3 linked regions of the Drosophila melanogaster genome follow. The protein of the gene in region 1 interacts with the protein of each later gene in a biochemical or structural test. Each region holds a gene or a part of one and is shown in the gene's direction. Other genes may lie near its edges.

Region 1 (3,600 bases):
TACTGCTAATAATATCTTCTCCTGCCTTCCAGTTCATCCGCTAACACGGAAGTTCTACGCCCAGTATGAGCAACGCCAGCCGACGGATACCTTGAGGTACCTACGGCACACTTGGCCTGAGAAGCATGTGGAGCGTCAGAGGCAGCTCGGAAAAGCTGTTCCGCTCCTGGAGTCGCAGGTGTACGGCTGGTTGCCGCTCAAAAGTGGAGAGCGAGCCGCCGATCTGAACTTTCTGCATGCCAAGAAGGTGCGCTGCGGCATGACTGTTCACGGGGAGCGCTTGGTGGCGGAGAGGATTACGGCGCGTCCTCCGTTTAACGGACTCAGATTCCTGCTTCACTAATCCTACGGCGAAGAAATGTCGCACGCTGACCGCCATTATAAATTTATAATTTTTTTTTTAACATAGTGTTAATTTTTTTTTTGTAAACAAATTAATTATGATTAAAAAGCAAAACTAAGCCACGCTAGATCATTATTAAGAAACGCATCTTGTCTAATTCAAATTTAGTAAAAAAAAAGGTGGCAGCTCTCCCTCGATGATTTAGTTTCAGGGCTACGACGTCGATTATTTTTTGTTTATTTATATTGTTTTCATTTACTGTTGCTTCAAGCAGGCGAATGAACCTGGAACAGACTCCTCCTGTAATGCGCACAGCAACCGCCTGAGATTCTCGCAGTAGCCACGCAACATGGTGGGTACGGGTGTGAGTGAAGTGGGTGTTCCGGCATCTTCGGAAGAATCCGTAGATTTCGGCTGGAATCGGCATCGCAAGTCAAAGGTCGCGTTTCACGGACTCAGTGGCAGCCGGCATCTAATCACTTGGGTTCTTTGACTCACATAATATTCATAACTGATTTGATTTGATCGACTCTGCAGGCTCACTCGAACAAGGCTCGCAAAGCAGCCAAAGAGGCAAACGCCAAGAAGTCTGCGGGATCGGGAACAGAGAGCAAACCGGAGCACGTAAAGATACATGGCCCAGGCGATCGTAGTGCAGGAGTTCTGACTGGCGACCAGTTCCTGGAGAGCTTGCTCCAGACTCTCTACAGGTCATGTATGTCCACTAGTTGAAGTACTATCTGTAAAAGCGCTTAATTGCTTACTGCCACAATTAGTTACTTATATATGTACTACTCTGTACGGTTGTTAACCTGTTTTATGCATCACACCGCGTAACAAAAGTTGCCTTTGTTATAACGTTGCCATATTGCAGGGCTTCAAATCTGCCGCCTGGCAGATTTTGTGATGTCCGAGCTAGGTGGAAATGATTTCCTGGAGGCCACCGCGGCCTGGTGCACCCGGAATCCGCACGTTGCTATCTGCCTGCTAGCTGGTGGTCTTGTATTCATGCTGCCCTTCCTTATAATATTTGGGTTTGGAATAGCCACCATGGTTATGACCTTTACAGGTTTGCTGGTGCTAGAAGGTGCGTTCCGTAGTGTTTACCAGAGATCACGTTCTTATCGACTCGTTTTAGGCACACTCCTGACCATTGTGTCCATGGTGTTCTTCGCCTGCCTGGGAGGACTAGTCATAATGGTACCTCTCTTCGGTGTCGCCGCTGTTGCTGCCTATTTCGGATTTGCCCAGGTGTATGGCCTATGTGATGGAATAGAGATCCATAAGAGCGCGTGGGTCATGTTCTTTAGGGATCAACGGAAGGCCGGCGATCCGCCGCCAGCTGCTGTGACCATAACCGATGAACCCACTTCTACGACTGCATAAACCAATATTGCTTGCCCAACTTAAATATGTATTAAGAAATTAAAGACCAGTGTTTGAATACTTTTGGAAATTTAAAAAGTGCGCTTTCTATTTTGAAGCAAGTTGGCAGCCACCTGCGATAGAGGAGTTATCGGTTATCTGTTCTGCGCTCATATACACAGTTTTCATAGTCGGGGATTTTTGTCGAATTTAAATATCTAAGTGCGTCAAAAGTGCGTTAACCTGCCTTTGAGCAGATAAATTTACTTTCGAAGCGGTAAGTAATAGTAAAGTCATAGATATTTCTTTAATTCGTCGCCCAAAAACAATAGTTTTTGGTCGTACCTGTGTTGTCATACACCCTCATGTACACTCAGGTGCTTGTGTTGGTAAATGTTTATACAAGATAAACGGTGAGTTCGAGATAACATGATAACATGAACTAGAAATAAATTCGCCTTAGCTAAATTATAAATATTGTGAATTGAGTTTCTTAAGGATGAAATGCTATACAAATTTCGTGAGATTTTTGTGTTCTCAGAACAAAAAAAATTTGAAAAATTCCTTTGGCCTATCGCACAGGGCCCATCGAGTTATCGGGACAGCAGCAGGCCATCGCTAGTTGGGTTTCGTCGCCATATACACAGTTTTTCTCGAGCAGACAATTCGCTGTTATTTTGTTTCTTATAGCGTTTTAAATAAATAAATCCTGCTCTAAAGCAGACTTAAATTCCTTGGACGCGGTGAGTACTGTTAGTCGGTAGTGAATCCGTTTGGAAAGCCAAAGTTTCTGTGTGCCATGAAAGTTGGAAAGCCATGGCAAACAAGTCGGCGCGGGGGTGGGCAGGGGTTCGCTGGATGTGCGCCTGTGTATGTGTGTGTGTATGATCTGGATACACACAAACGGCATTTTTATGTATTCCTCCCCCGTAAATCGGGCGCTTGTTTTGTTGCTCGCTGGAATGTAAACAATGCCACAGACAGGAAATCGTTTTCTTCGAATCTAGAGGCAGGCTTATCGTTAGGTGTTTTATCTAATCGACAACTGAAATGGAGTTGGGATTCTTTCTGAGCTGCCTACGCGAGTATGTGTGTGTAGGCACAATCGTTTGGATGTGTGGCAACTCTGCGCAGCACTGCATTTGTATGCTGCACTGCCGCGGCCCTTTACTTTCTCTCCCAGTCTCTTTCCCTGTCCCTTTCCCGCACTCCGCACGCGCGGTGTTGCAAGTGCCTTGCTTTGCTTGCGCTCTCCGCATCTGGATTCTGTTCCGTTTAAACGAGCGTGCTGGTCGGTCGCATTTTCCGCTGCGCCTTTTTCGAGAGAAGTGAAAAATCCATTTTGTTTTTTGTTGGAGTGCATGAGATTTGAAAGAGTGCTAAACAAAGTAATTAAATAACTCAAGGTTCGTGGCCAAAGTCTTCGGCAGGTAGACACACACATACCCACAAATACCCGTTCTACCTGCGTAAGAATGTATTAGTGCGTTTGTTTGTATACGCAGCATATTTCATATTATGCTTCGGCATCTCAAAGCGGAAATGAGTTAAAAAAAAAGACCAACGACTAGAATAAGTGACTAACGGACGATATCTGCGTCTGTTGGCAGTCTGCAAACACAACAAGCCCTTCTTTCCGGGGCCCCCATTTAGTGGAGTTCCGTGGTCTCCATCCGAAGCACACACGAACTCCATGTTATTGACTGTCCAGCACATTACTCATATACTCTCCGTCTCTTTCTTGCAGGTGTGGTGTAAAGCGCCTCAATCACCAAGATGAGTTACATGCCAGCCCAGAATCGAACCAGTAAGTATTTCCAGCAGCGGTACTCTTCCCTTTCCCATCTTCCAGGGAGTATGCAAAGAGCATCAAAGTTAACTGTGTATCAGAG
Region 2 (3,829 bases), about 15 Mb from region 1:
CGGCGCAGAGTTCCCAGACGGCTCGCCGCAAAATCCGCGCCCCCGTACGCCGTTTGCCGCCCCGGTAGAAATGGCATCGCAGTCGGCCATCACGATAGCAAATGAGGCCGCCGTCGGATTAGGATTAAGATATTGGCAGCCATTGCCGAGAGTAACAGAATCAGCAGTAGCAGCAAAAGCATCAAGGGCCGAAAAGGAAAAGCAAGACACAGAAGACGCCGGCAACAATAGTGGGCTCAAAGGTTCGGTCCAGAGCCAATATCACCAGGAGCCAGATATTCAAGGATCATCGAGGATAAACATGCAGTCACCAAAGTCGCCATGTGTGAACAAATACCGCTTCGTACGCCGCCACAGCCTGAACTCTGAAACCAGGAAACCCTTTAGCAGGAATATTTGGCAGAATACAACAGGAGAAGGCAATGAAACCAATGGCGACGATGTCCCTAAAACACCAACAACTGGCGACCAGGAGGACAACCAACAGGAGGAACGAGATTCAGCGGTATATACATCAACAGAACGAACTGTACTAGTAAGGACCCAATTCAAGATAGTGCGGCAAAGGAGCGTCATCTCGAAACCGAGACAGAAGCCTCCGACTTACTCTTAAAAAGCTAAGGAATAGGTTCGTTCCACATCCTTCTCTGCTCTCCGATGATTGGGAGATGACCACGCGAATGTCGCTCATACTACGCATATTGATGATTACAAATTATAAAAACACTTCGTTGGATTTACGCGAGAATTCATCGCACCAAAAAAAAAACGAAAATGAATATATTTTAACGTTATTTTTGTTGAATATATAATATACCTTAACGATAATTATGTAATAATTATTTTGCGAAATAGTAAAGAAACGTGTAATGCTGCAATCAAACAGAGATGCGAGGCCATGTAATAGCGCAAAAAATCAACTACTGTATAATGTAGTAATACGTATATTCGAGTTATTGGCCGATACGTCGAGCATATGATGATTGCAGTCAGATAAGAGCGATCGGCAAACGATTGCATTAAGTCTTTAGTTTTTGTTATTAATTTTAGCGTTTAGATTCACACACACACAATTCACACGAGGAAAATACCTGCAACGACGTTCTGTGCAGCAGCCAAGGTGGAAAGCCAACAAATTAAAGAAAAACAACTATCTAGCAACGTAAAGAAACCAACCAACCCTATAGCTAACAAGATAACAGATTAGATGAAAAGATTAGAGAGAATGGTGGCAAACTGGAAAACCGAAAGAGTTATAATTGTATGCATGTTTTTTATATACATAAATTCATAAAGAACATTTAATATTTTATTTTAAGTTTATATTGATCATTTTTAAGTCGAGAACAGAAATGGAAATCAGAAGTCTATGTTGAGAGAGAAACGGTATCATAATGTAAATAAGTAAATATATGCGGTATGATAATTTAAACATTGTGCTCTTTACTTGGGTTTTCAACTGGAATTGCAATGAAATTCTATAACGAATATTTGGTGTCTTAAAGTACATATCTTACTTTGAATGGTAATTGTTTTCAGCGCGAATACTTTACAAACATTTGAATTTCGAAAAGCCAGTTGACCACAGGCGAACTCACCATGCCACGGCAACGGTCACACTGCCGCCATTGCGATAGACATCGATAGCCGTTCCAGCACTAATACTCACGATAAACACCACCTCTATTTCTGGCATCGGCAATTATTTCCCTAGGTTTATTATTTTTTTGTTAAGCGAATTGCTTGTGCGCTCGTGCTGTCGCCATAATGTGTGCAATGTGTGCCAGCCAGAGGAGCAAGTGGTGAAGGTGTATCGCTTGTGCGCATCTCGATTTGTCCATCCATATCCAATTGAATCCCAGTTTCCCAGTCGCGTCCGCTGCTATGCGTGTGTGTGTGCGTGCGTGCCCGTGTCCCTGCATGTGTGTGTGTGAGTGAGATCGGGAAGAAGTTGTGTGCTGTTGTTGTTGTTGTTTCTGTCGGATTTGCCGTTGCCATCGTTTGTTGTTTGTGCATTTTCCATTGTCGGGCGACGCAACAAAAAGAAAAAAATTACACATTAAAAATAGAGAGCAAGAGCGAGAGGGAAGGAGTGGTGTGGAGTGGAAAAGGGCGGTAAAAGGGCAGAAATTTGGAGCACGGGAAATCCGAGTCGCTGAAGATGTTCTCGAAGAAGAAAAAGAAACCGCTGATCTCGATGCCCAGCAATTTTGAGCATCGTGTGCACACGGGCTTCGACAAGCGGGAGAACAAATATGTTGGCCTGCCCCTCCAATGGGCGTCCATTGTGGGCAACAATCAGATACTCAAGTCCTCCAACCGCCCGCTGCCACTGGTCGATCCCTCGGAGATTACGCCCACCGAGATTCTCGATCTGAAGACTATTGTGCGTCCGCATCACAACAACAACAAGGCGGACACCACCTCGCTCAACAGCAGCAGCACAATGATGATGGGCTCAATGGCGCCGATGAATCCCATGGCACCTGGCGCACACCCAATGATGAGCCATGGCCCCGGAATGATGATGCCACCCGAGACGGGCGGCATAGTCCTGCCGAAGACCTCTCACGTGGCCAGATCCAATTCGCTGCGGAGTTCCAGTCCGCCGCGAGTGCGACGGGTAGCCAATGTGCCGCCATCGGTGCCGGAGGAGGAGGGACCACCGGCAGCTGGAACACCGGGAGTAGGTGGAGCTAGTAGCGGTGGCTTTAAGCCACCCGGTGCCCATCCCTCCCTGCTCTATAACAGTCAGCATGCGCACGCGAATGGAGCAACAGGACCACTGGCCGTGCGCACGGATCAAACCAACCTGCAGCAGTATCGCAGCAATCTGGCCCCGCCATCCGGCGGCTCCATGCCCCAGCAACAGCAGACTTCGCCCGTGGGTTCGGTGGCCAGTGGCACGCGATCCAATCACTCGCACACGAACAATGGCAACAGCGGCGGCAGCTATCCTCCCATGTATCCCACAAGCCATCAGCAGCAGCAGCAGCAGCAACAGCAGGCCAAACAGGGTGGCGATCAGAACCAAAATCCTCTGCATCCGCATGCTCATCCGCATCCGCACCATCACCAACATTTGGCCAAGTCGGCGTCCAGGGCATCCAGTTCCAGCGGGGGAGCGAGCAGTGCTGCCCAGCAGGCGAGCGGCGCCAGTGGAGGAGCGGCGGGTCAGCCAAAGCAGGACCAACGACTCACCCACGAACAGTTCCGTGCCGCCCTTCAGATGGTGGTCTCCGCCGGTGATCCACGCGAGAACCTCGACCACTTTAACAAAATAGGCGAGGGCTCCACGGGCACCGTATGCATTGCCACGGACAAATCCACAGGCAAGAACATCCGCTTTAACTATTGTCAAAACCATTGAATTAATGGCATTTGGTTTTCTCATTACGTACAGGTCGCCAGGTGGCCGTGAAGAAGATGGATCTGCGCAAACAGCAGCGACGGGAGCTGCTATTCAACGAGGTCGTCATCATGCGGGACTACCATCATCCCAATATCGTGGAGACATACTCCAGCTTTCTGGTCAACGATGAGCTTTGGGTGGTGATGGAGTACCTCGAGGGCGGCGCCCTCACCGATATTGTCACCCATTCGCGCATGGACGAGGAGCAGATAGCCACCGTCTGCAAGCAATGCTTGAAGGCTTTGGCCTATTTGCACTCACAGGTGCGTGACCAGCATGACACTGCCCCTTTCCTGTCCCCGTTCCCATTACCATTCCCTTGGCCAAACTGGGCAGCAGAGAACGGAGTACTCGCCATCATGCGATTCTTTGTGCCTTTGTACCTTGCCATTTGCGGCGCTTTCTTCGCCCTCCGCT
Region 3 (3,829 bases), 750 kb from region 1:
CTTTAGCTTAGCTATTCTCGTAAGGTGGTTGTCTCAATTTATTGTCAAAATTCTGTTCTGCTTTAAATGCCAAAATTGTGTTCAAAATCTTTCGTCAAATATTCCAATAAATTAACTTCAAGGACGGACGGCCATCACCTTTTAGCCTTATTATCATTAAACAAAGCGCTACTTTCGCAAAACCATCGTTGCTATTTTGACTTGACCACAAGTCACTAGAATCAGTAACCATATCGGCCAACAAGAAGGCAGCTAAACAAGGACCCACTCGCGATGTGAAAGTCAAGAGCACGGCCATCGAGAGCGGCCCCTCCAAGCCCCCGCCGGACAAACATCTGGAGCGCCAGTTTGTCCAGTCGGTGAATAGTTAGTGTCCGGTCGCTTTGTTCAGCTGAAGTTATTGCTAATTATTATTAAGTTCTCGTAACTAATTTTGAATTTTCTTCTTCATTTTCTTTCCAGGTAAGTTGACTATCATATTACCAAACTTCCTATAAACGGGTAAGCAAAAGTCTGTTCTCCCACATTGAAGTCTATATATATATATATATGGTGATAACTGCTAAAAGCAAACTTATAGATTGTAATTGTTTTTAAGTGTTTAATTAGTTTATAAGTAAAAGCTACGTATATGTAAAGCTAGCCTAATTTCGCAGAATTTGTAGCTAGTGTTGCCCAAATGGGTTAAGTTACATGAGTTTATGTTATTTTGTTTACAAATGAAATTTGTGGAAATATGTACCAATACAGGGTTTAAGATTTCGATTGTGGCGAACATTTATGGCTGTGGCCTTGGGACTTGCATACTTTCGGGCGGCGCTCGTAATGAACCGGCTGCATTTTTCGATGCTTTCGCAATTAGCGGTGGTTAAAAGACCTCGCCACCCACATCCCCACCTCCCACATTCCCCACCCACTGAATTTTCCACTCTTTAACTCTTCTGTTTTTGTTTTGTTTTGTTGACTCATCGGCACGCGCGCTCTCATTTCGGCCTCTTTCTTTATCTCTTTCTCGGTTACCTAATTTTTGCATAAGTCGCGTCGCCGACACATGAGAAATTCCGGCGCAGCGTACTAACAAATACGCACACACTCGCACACTCGCACATGCAGCTAGCACACTCACGCACCGCATGCAAATTAGCTGTCCGCTGACTAGAAATTCTTTCGCGAGCGCTCTCTTTCCCGCCCCTTTGCTCTGTGTGCTCGCTCGCTCCCCACACGCCGCACACGCTCCCCCGCTTCCTCCCTCGCCGTTCGCCGTCCATGTGACGATCAATTTTAGCGCACATTGGGGCAAATGTGTGGAGCAAGCTGCCAGCGATGCTCTCTTTCGGGTGAGAAACAACATAAATACTTCTTTCATTTAATTCCATTTCCATTTGAGAAGCGAAGCAAAGCTTTCGGCCCACCGTGCAACGTTCAATGCTCCGGTACAGCTGCGGTCAGTCAGTTAGAAATCAAAGTTATATCAAATGTTCCTTGGAAGAGACCAAAAATGATGTGTCATGCCTTAGTAGAGACAAACTTACCTAGAAAGGTGCCTGTATTTATAAACTGGTGTTGACATTTATTTAAAGTTGTAGAAATATTGATTAGTTAGGTGGTCCTTCCGTTGCGAGCGCTGCTGTGCTGCGGGACGCCGGCGCAGGCGCTGCTGCGCTGCCGGCGACGCTGTCGGCTGATGTGAATGTGATGTAGATGCCCATGCTTCGACTCGCTCACTCGCGTTGAATCCATCGAGCAGGCGCGTCGTTCTCTCCTCTCGTTCCGGCGCGTTCCATTCAGCCATTCCGCGACTCTATTTGCCTGTTGTTTTTGTAGCTTTATCAGCGACAAAAAAAAAAAAAAACGAAACGAAACAAATATAAATATAAATAACAACGGCGAAACAAAAAGTGAAACAAAATCGTGACGCGCCTGATTACTTTATTTTTTGTGTCAACAGTGTGTGCAGTGTAATGTGTCTCCAAAAGAAAAATAAAAATTAGAAACTAGTCGAATTCAATATGCATTGAAATCTAATTAGTTGCCGCATTGTTGTTTTTGCCGCCTGACACCATTAGAAAATCACGAAAAGAGCTATCAACATGGCCTAAAGTGACCAATGAATTGGAGTTTATTTCACGGCGTTGTGAAATATGCTCCAACTTTAACCCAAAAACCCACACACACTCATTGCCAATGTATTAATGTTTTTTTTTATTTTTATTTATACTTGGGGGAGATGTGTATTTTTTTAGTGGGGCGAATGTTCTAGAAAGCTCTTTAAAGTACCTCGATTTGTGTGGGAATCTAACGCTCGTTGTTTGCCCCTTCCTCGCAATAGTTGTTTGTGAATATGTTGCGATGTATACGTATCCACGATTTCAGTGCATCTTCACTACCAAATCCAAGAAGAAGAAACTTAAAATTCATCAATGGAAAAGTTTTTGCAATCCCCCTGTCTCGCTCACTTGCTCTGGCCCCCTCAATCGCCGCTCTCTTTCCGCCGCAAGGCGCACAACAAGTGGCAAACCGAAGCGGCGGCGTCGTCTTCAAACCAGTTTTACTGTAGCGTTGTTGTTGCTGCTTCAGCTTACACTGAAAAAATAACGCAGTCAATAACGCAAATTAGTCCATAGCTTGTTGGTACCATTTCGTTTGTATATTTTATAAGCACATTTTGTAAACAGGAATTAATGGAGAATACGCAACACAAATCTAAGGCACGATTTCTAAAAAAGTTTAAATGATGTGGTGATTAATGTTTGTTTATTTATCACGACACTTAAATTGTTCTCTGTGTAATTCTGCGGCTGCTGCGTCTCCGCGATAATTGGTGCGGAGGTTGCCCCTTCAGCCCTCCCCCCAAACTCCTCCATCTACCATTCCATCTACCGTTCCGCCGATCAGTATTTGCTTTTATGGGCAAAAGTTCTTCAATGAGTGGTCACAGCATTTGTGAAGGGAGGGGGGCGGAGGGGGCTGCGGTACGTGCATGCAATTCCTTATTGGCGACAATGTTGAAATGTGTGCGCCTGTTTGAAGGAAAACACCAGAGATCAAACCAATAGCTTTAAAACTTTGATTGCCTTTTGATTAAAGCCATGTGGAACTTAGTGCCATCACCGTTATTGGGCAGATTCTAATTGGTTTTCCAAGTAAGATGCTGAAAATGCAATTTTTTCTCGTAACGTTAATCGGTGAACAGGGAATCCCCCTCATTGATCTCCCAGCGCAGTGGAGCCAAAGTCCTAAGTTTTTTCAGCATGGATGACAGTGCCTATTAGTGTGACCGCTGGTGTTTGTGGTGGCTTGGGCCAAAAGTGAATTATTCATGTTGTTGCTGCTGTCGCTCTGCCAGTGGAAAATTCCCAAAAAAAATTCGCATGAACTGCGCCGGCTGCTCCTCCGCTCCTCCGCTGCCCCACATGCTTCTCCTTCCACTCGTTCTTCTTCTTCTTTGAGTGCCCCCCAAAGGCAAAAAGTCGGAGTCGAAGTTACTTGGTGTGTTAGTTGTTGTTGCTCTTGCCCACTCATTCGCTTCGGTTTTTTTTTATTTTCTTTTCTTGTCTTTAACATTTTTTCTTTTTATAAAAATAGCACAGACGAAGAAATATTTGCACACACACACACACACCACGCACACACGTGTATTGTAGCATTTGCTAATTTTCTTCGTTTGTTTCGCTTGGCGTTTTTTGTTTGTTGATTCGCCTATTGCCTCCGTCTTCCCTCTCGCTCTCCGCCACTTTTATATTTTCAAAGACAGCAATTTGTATCTTTAGTGCGGGGATCACTTTTCTCTCTTAAACCCGACTTTCTCACGCTCTCTTCCGGCGCTCTT

Evidence for each region.
Region 2: of the proteins of arm (region 1) and mbt, one has a biochemical effect on the other in vitro, tested with the Drosophila melanogaster proteins (one study listed by BioGRID).
Region 3: of the proteins of arm (region 1) and sgg, one has a biochemical effect on the other in vitro, tested with the Drosophila melanogaster proteins (2 studies listed by BioGRID).

What each region holds. Positions count from the first base shown.
Region 1 is NC_004354.4:1,898,895-1,902,494, reverse strand, and holds the start of arm (armadillo), read left to right. Parts: upstream 1-1,848; 5' UTR 1,849-1,985; intron 1,986-2,321; exon of another isoform or gene 2,322-2,451; intron 2,452-2,884; exon of another isoform or gene 2,885-3,191; intron 3,192-3,455; 5' UTR 3,456-3,484; coding exon 3,485-3,515; intron 3,516-3,600. Other genes in the region: CG32801 (uncharacterized protein), read left to right, coding at 33-343; Ldaf1 (lipid droplet assembly factor 1), read left to right, coding at 693-782, 881-1,058, 1,218-1,430, 1,482-1,729. UniProt on the Drosophila melanogaster protein: Isoform neural may associate with CadN and participate in the transmission of developmental information. Can associate with alpha-catenin.
Region 2 is NC_004354.4:16,609,031-16,612,859, forward strand, and holds the start of mbt (mushroom bodies tiny), read left to right. Parts: upstream 1-1,654; 5' UTR 1,655-2,161; coding exon 2,162-3,332; intron 3,333-3,403; coding exon 3,404-3,675; intron 3,676-3,746; exon of another isoform or gene 3,747-3,829. Other genes in the region: Nup153 (nucleoporin 153kD), read left to right, coding at 1-68. UniProt on the Drosophila melanogaster protein: Involved in neurogenesis of the adult central nervous system, and together with Cdc42, regulates photoreceptor cell morphogenesis. Phosphorylates exogenous substrates when activated by Cdc42.
Region 3 is NC_004354.4:2,644,914-2,648,742, forward strand, and holds the start of sgg (shaggy), read left to right. Parts: upstream 1-1,723; 5' UTR 1,724-1,958; intron 1,959-3,829.